Oryzias latipes: one gene and its partner. Each later gene encodes a partner of the first gene's protein in a complex. Links are inferred from orthologs where the notes say so. Each region holds a gene or a part of one and is shown on either strand. Other genes may lie near its edges.

Region 1 (3,829 bases):
TTCATAGCATTATTGCTCACTAAGTCATTATTCTGATTTTTTTTTTAACTTCATATAATTTTCCTGATTGGAAAAGCTTCACAGACCTTATGATTTATTTGATGTAGACATTTACGTCTTACTTCTCAGGGAGACTTCGCCTCATGCTTTCCAGTTGGAACTGTTCTTTAATAATGTTGCCAAACCCAACGGCCCTACCTTCCACAGACTGGGCAGGTCAGTGTTTCTCTTGTTTGTTTTTTTTTTGTTTTTTAACTGTCTTAGCCTGTCAAAGTCATTCACTTCATTTCCTTGTGAGGTTTACAAAGATCCCAGGACACAGAAGTCTGTTTCACTGGTGGAACCGGTTAGAGCAGCATTTGAGTCCTTTTCTCTTCTAGCTCGTTTTGAAATCGACCCTCCTGGTTTCTTTGTTATTTGTGCTCATCTAGCTGGTCTTTCCAGAATTTCTGCTGCACCTTCACTGTAGCTAAAATTGACAAAGATAAAGAGGTCTCACTGAAGGACAAGATTAATGTTCTAGTCAAAACACTTTTATTCTAACCTCAATAACTGGGATGTTCACAGTAGCACCAAAGAGTTAAACTTGGGTTTAGGATTATAAAAATATGTGAATGTGACACACCCAAGGTATTTTTCTGTGTGAGTAAAGTCAGAATTAAATGCTCCAAAATTTGCACCATTGTATCTCAATTATTTTCTTTCTTTTTGAAGTAATGTTATCATGTTTTTAGTAAAAAATCATTTAGTTTGGTCAGATGATGTAGTTAATGAAAGGAAATCTCCTACTAAAACATTTTGACTTTTAACTTTTCCAAAACAATATGCTATAAGTGCTAAAGCTTGAATATTGGGTTTAAAAATGCTAATAATCAGAATCATAACCCAAAATTTAGTTTAGGATTTCTAATTTTACAGATTAATTAAGATTTCTTAAATTGCTTTGAATTAGAGATTTATTAGATCATTTCAGTGTTTTGGCAGTGATACCCAGCCATGGCACAAATGTTTTTTTATTTTTTTTATTAACAGTAGGTAAATCAGTTTTATTTATAAAAATCTGATTTTTATTCAAATTTTGTAATGTTCTGCCATTATTATTATTGTTTAACTTGTCATGTTTTGCTTTGTGTCCTTAGTTTGGAATATGATGAGAACAAGTCAATTGTGTTCAGGCCCAGTGGAAAGGTAAAGCGTTTTTTAATTTTTTATTATAAAAGAAATCTTGACTTTTGTTTTCTGTTGATCTGGGGATAACTGACTGGGCATTTATGGACAGGTGAACACAAACGGCCTTGTTCTGCGTGGATGGTACACTAGTCTGACTCTGGCGGTATATGGGACTGCAGAGCGCTCTCATGGCCATGATCAAGGCTCGCCTCCTCCACCACCTCCACCTCCTCAACAACCAGCTGGACCCAAGAGGATCATTAAACAAGGTTGACTCATATTACTCCTTTCTGTTGTTTTCCTTTAAGCAATATGTTTTTGAGTTACAAATGATTATTTAGTTAGTCATTTGGGTCAATAAATAAAGAATTGTACTAGCCACTGGTAAAGTTTTCAGCTGAGCCCAAAACAGTAAAAATTACAAGAATTAATTTGTTTGATTCAAACCCAAGACCCCAACTTTCAGTCCAAAGAATTTGGATTGTTCTTTTTGGGTTAAATTAGCACATGAAGTGAAAGAGTTTTAACATCCTGTACTGTTTTTCTCAACAGAAGTACAAAAACAGAGTTGTGCTAATATGCAAAGCTGTCGTTTTACTGGTCTGTCAACATTACAGTGCTCACCTATAGTCCCAGGGTCTGAATAATGACCAAGAGAGTGAAATCATAAGCACAGGCTGCCAAGAAGAGCATTGTCATGTCGTAACATCTTTTTACCCTTGGGGGAAGTGTCAGTTATAGTCTTTAGGAGAATTTACTGCTTTTCTGCCTTAAAATCACTGTTAAAATGGTTTGGGCTCTTAGTAAAAATGCTTTCACACACCTTTTGAAAATGGCACTTCTGACATGTCCCACCAATAACACCCCCCACACGAGCTCAAGGACCAGCTGGAAATATGTTTTTGTCGTCCTGGCACTATTATCTAAGAGCTAGCAAAAATAAAGGGGGAGAAGAAGACCATTACAATCTCTGTTCAGACTGGACCTGGTCCTAAAGGGATTGTTTTTTAATAGAACCAATGCCCTTGTTAGATTTTTACCAAATCACCACTTTGAAAGCACTTTCACCCCTCTTAACCAACTTACACCAACAAGAATTGTTATTTTCGACACATATCCTCAAATCAAATCATATCACACTATCTGTCACACCTAGGTGTGTGAAATTTGTTCTTTGCATTTGACCCATCCTCTGGGGGAGCGGTGAGCTGCAGACACAACTGTGCTCAGGAACCATTTGGTGGATTTAACCTCCTAATCCAGCCCCTTAATGCTGAGTGTCAAGCAGGGAGGCATTGGGTCCAATTTTTAAAGTCTGGGATTGAACACACGACCTTCCAGTCTCAGGGCAGTCTCACTCTAACCACAAGGCCACTGAGCTGGTACAATCCTAATAATCCTAGTAATATCCTGACATTCCATGTCTTTCAGAATGGGAAAAAGAGGACCAGTACAATGGCAGCCCTCCTAGACCAGCACCTAGAGGACCTCGGACTCCACCTGGACCTCCACCTCCCGATGATGATGAGGAGGAGCAAGTCCCAGCGGCAGGTAAATCTCAAACACACTTACATAATGTATATATTTGTAATCCATCCTTTTTTAGAACTAGAGTTGCTTTTTTTAAACATAATTTTCACCCAAAAATTTGCAAACGTAATTTAAAGGTTTAATTTCAGTAACGTCACATTTATCTTTTGCACTCCCTTCCTATTGAATCTACAGTTGAATTTATTGCAGTTTTTTCAAGTCTGTTTTTCTTTCTTATATCTTATCTCATGTAGATTAATTTGAAACTGTTTGCGCTGATTATGAGTAAACATTTTTTATTTCCTTTTAGGCCTACAGCCCGCATTCATTAAAATAGGTGGTCATACAGTCTTAAAGGCAGAGCAGACATTAATTCTTAAAGGTTGCAGCAAAATCAAAACAGTGATTCAAAAACCTAAGCAGGTGAAAAGTCTGAATCTACGATGGATGCATTGATGCATTGAATTCAGAGAATGTTTTAGATTCTTTTCTAGTACATGCCAATATAGATATGATATATATGTAGGAATTGTAATCTGCGTGACTTGATTGACTGCCTCCTTTTTTGGCAAAAATTAAGTTTCACTTTAGAGACTTGAGACAATTTTAATTCAGTTCAGACACTTTGCAGCCATGTTTGAAGACGGTACAACACAATTTACAACAGCTCATCTCTGAAAAAAACGTCTGCTTCATACACATTTTTGATAAGTCAGCAGCAGTTAAATAAACCGCATAAAGCAGGCGTGTGTGTGTCAAAGCATGTCAGAATGACATTAGGGGTCTGTAAATGTTGCTGCAACCTTTTTAAGAGAGTATACTTATTTCTATGTCATTCTATCATTTTCTCCCTCTCTGTTTTCCATGACAGGAGAAGGAGTATTAAAAATGAAACATCATTAAAAAAAAAAAAACGCAATTTGAGTTATAGGAAAGAGTAATTCTTTGTGTATCCTGCTGTAGTTTCATCATGACTCAACGTTTGTTAGCAAAACTTGTTTGCTAACTAGACCAACGGTAAAACCCGAAACACTGGTATGGTCTAAAAACAGTTAGACAAACAATTCGAAAAACCTTTCACTAAGCTGTGCAGCCGCCTGCAGTATCTAAAGAATCAACACAGCAAATT
Region 2 (3,308 bases), on another chromosome or scaffold:
TTTTTGAACGATACTGTTAAAGTTTCTGTTTTTGAGTATATTTTACCAGTATGTGATTCAACATTTTAAGTGACTTTTCCAACAGCTAAATCTGATCGGTGAAAGAGATGAAGTTCCGATTCACTTCTGTGATAAATGTGGTCTCCCCATTCAACTTTATGGACGGATGGTATGTGCAGAATTTCAATTTCTGTCATTTTCAGTCAACATTTTCTTGCTTAACTCTTGACCTTGCATCTTTCAGATTCCCTGCAAGCATGTTTTCTGCTATGACTGCGCTTTGCTTCATGAGAAGAAAGGCGAGAAGATGTGTCCAGGGTGAGACATGTTTCCATCTTCAATGTGTAGTTCTGTTTAATTCTCTGTTAATTGAACAATTGGAAACAGTTTTTTTATGTGGCTGCTTAATGACAAAACGTAATAGAAAAGTTACTAACAAATTGACAAAAGATTGGAAAATATTAGTAAAATAATAAAAAAATATATATATATATATATATATGGCAGTATAATAATTTTTGCTCTGTAAATTTACATTTGGAGGAATTTCATTTGTGGTTGCAAAATTAGAAACATAAAGCACTTTTAAGTGAAAAATGTTTTGAAACAATTTATTAAGCATTGAAGCTATGATTTAATGCAGCCTTAAAAAAAACACTTTCTTGGTTACGGGTAACTTTTTTCCCTCACACGAGTCTATTTCGTTGAATATGAAATAGCGCAAATTAGATTTAGGATAATAAATTTACCTGATTGAAACACGACATTAAGCTAGTATTTATCAAAAAGAAAAAGTTTTTGTGCTTGGAGGTGGTTGTTTTTGAGGCATATCCAAATTGACATATTTCACAAAACTGCAATGGAAACACTTTTTTCAAACTAAATGAGCCCCATGACCAACAACCGGATGGCGAGGCGTCTTTTGGTAGGAACTGGCTGTCTTGGGGAATGCACAGCGGGCGCCACCAGAGGTCCCAAAGCGTCACACAGCTCATCAAAAGTTGAGCGTGTCATGTGGAATTGTTGGGTCCACAGCTCCTCTGATAAATGATGATGAGCGTTGGTGCTATGGCAGAAATTTGGATCTGTTGTCAAAGTATTGTTCACATCTCTCGCCATATTTTTTAATGATTTATCGCGTGAGTAGGTTCGTATTTATTCACATAATTAGGATCTAAAGGAAACAGTGTCATTGAAAAAAAATTTGTTTTGACATTTCGAGAATTTTGATAGGGTTTACACACGTGTGATGCAAAAGCTGCTCGTAACCTGTAGTTTTATGGTTTCTGTTTGAAGAGACTCAACTGTTGTATGTGTGTTCAGTCTCAGTCTGTATAACTGCACGGATCCAGTTCAGCGCATCGAGCAGTGCCAGCGAGGGTCCCTCTACATGTGCAGCATTGTACCAGGATGCAAGCGCACCTACTTGTCCCAGCGGGACCTCCAAGCCCACGTGAACCACCGTCACATGAGAGCCACCAAGTCCTCCTCGGGCCGCCAGGATCCTGTGCATCTGCCACAAGCACCTGAAATTTCTGATCGCTTCCGTGTGCCTCCTCCTCACATCCCTAAGAACCATGTCCACCTCCCAAACCAAATGCACAGCAGTCACGATCCCTACAGTCAGCCGCCTCCACCGACCCCCCATGACGGGCCTCCCCCAACTCCATCTCTGGGACCAGAGACGTTTCGCATTGCCACTGTAACAACTCGTAAACACAGCAATCTCATCACAGTGCCCATTCAAGATGACTCGTCTTCATCACGGGATTCCCATCCTGGTGGGCCATGCCCCAGCCAGCCCCCGCATCACCACCCTGGAGACTATCCTGGGCAGCCGCCTGTGGTGTCACACTCTCACCACATGATGGCGCCACCTCAACAGCACTTTGGTCCACCTCCTCCTATTAGTCACCCAATGCAGCACCCCCCCCAGGGCTCTGGGACACCACACATGGTCTACAACCAGGCTCCTCCCCCCATGTCTACAGCCCCGCCTCCCCCACCAGGGCACATCATGCCCCCCTATATAAATCACCCACCTCCAGGACCTCCCCCACAGCACACCGGACCTCCTGTGAATGCCCCCCCACCTCACCACTACAACCCCAACTCCATGCAGCCGTTCCCTGAAGACCAGGGCACCCTCAGCCCTCCGTTTAACCAGCCAGGAGGACTCAGTCCTGGGATGTGGCCTGCTCCCAGGGGGCCCCCACCTCCTCGAATGCAGGGTCCACCTCCCCAGGGACAGATGCCAGGCCCCCATCACCCAGATCAGGGCCGCTATCGACCTTATTACCAGTAAACTGAAAGCTGGTTGAGTGGGAAGTCGTCGGTGTTGTTCTTTTCCATACCGCTTGTCTAAGTAATGTGATAGTGAACCTCAGGATTTCAGGATGTAGAACTTTGATTTGGATAAAACTGCCCACATTCAAATGTGTGTATGGTGCACATTTTAGTTACCTGTGCTCCACTTCCCCATGAGCGCACTAATAATTTGGAGAAGAGCAGGAATGTCCCTTTTTTAATAGCTTATTGGAAAGGATCTCTGTATATACGTCTGCTGATGTCAATGCTGAAGTGAAAGACGTTCATTCTCAATAAACTTTTCATGTCATACCTACTTGTCTTTATTTGATGAGTTGGGAGCAGCTGAGTTGATTACATCAGAAGTTCTTTTTTGCTGTAATAAAAAAAAAAATGTTTTAAATGCGATCTCCTAAAAGCTTAGGAAACCCAGATGTTAGGACTTTGCTGTATGTTTTTTATTTCCTTTAAAGAAATTCAATTTTTTTGCAACATTTAATAAAAAACTAGAGACTTATAAATAGAAAAAAACCTGCAGCAAGATGAAATAAGTATCAGAGGACAATGATGCAAACTTTTATGCCAGTCTCACAAAAAAGTTGTACTTGTGCTACCGTTTGGTGTCTTAACTGCAAGACTTTTTTTCCCCCACAATAGTTATGAAAAAAATTGTCATGTCTTATTAACATTCTAGTTTGACTTGTTTGAGTGTAATTGTAAAATTGTAAGATTTCTGAAAACAATGCAAGTCACAGCTGGGTCCTCATTGCATGTTTGCTTTGAGGCATAAGATGGGAGAATGGCAGCACCATCGCTCGCTAAGTAGAGTTGGAATGTAAGGCCAAAGGTCCTTGCTCATGTCAGAAGTTGCGTGTTTTAAAAAGTCATGGAGTTGATGAAACAGGCACAGAAAAAACATGAAATCCAGTGTCTAAAAGGTTTGTGTGAGTCTGAGCAGACTTTCATGACTTTCAAGTGTGTAGAAGAATGTTCAGACTCCA

What was found.
Region 2: virma (region 1) and cbll1 share a complex: the UniProt entries of both Homo sapiens proteins name them as parts of the WMM complex. The link is inferred for Oryzias latipes from reciprocal best matches to the Homo sapiens genes VIRMA and CBLL1.

What each region holds. Positions count from the first base shown.
Region 1 is NC_019874.2:17,770,250-17,774,078, reverse strand, and holds part of virma (protein virilizer homolog), read left to right. Parts: intron 1-129; coding exon 130-216; intron 217-1,139; coding exon 1,140-1,188; intron 1,189-1,279; coding exon 1,280-1,439; intron 1,440-2,601; coding exon 2,602-2,721; intron 2,722-3,829. UniProt on the Homo sapiens protein: Associated component of the WMM complex, a complex that mediates N6-methyladenosine (m6A) methylation of RNAs, a modification that plays a role in the efficiency of mRNA splicing and RNA processing.
Region 2 is NC_019881.2:9,402,471-9,405,778, forward strand, and holds the end of cbll1 (E3 ubiquitin-protein ligase Hakai), read left to right. Parts: intron 1-85; coding exon 86-169; intron 170-244; coding exon 245-318; intron 319-1,323; coding exon 1,324-2,305; 3' UTR 2,306-2,619; downstream 2,620-3,308. UniProt on the Homo sapiens protein: E3 ubiquitin-protein ligase that mediates ubiquitination of several tyrosine-phosphorylated Src substrates, including CDH1, CTTN and DOK1. Targets CDH1 for endocytosis and degradation.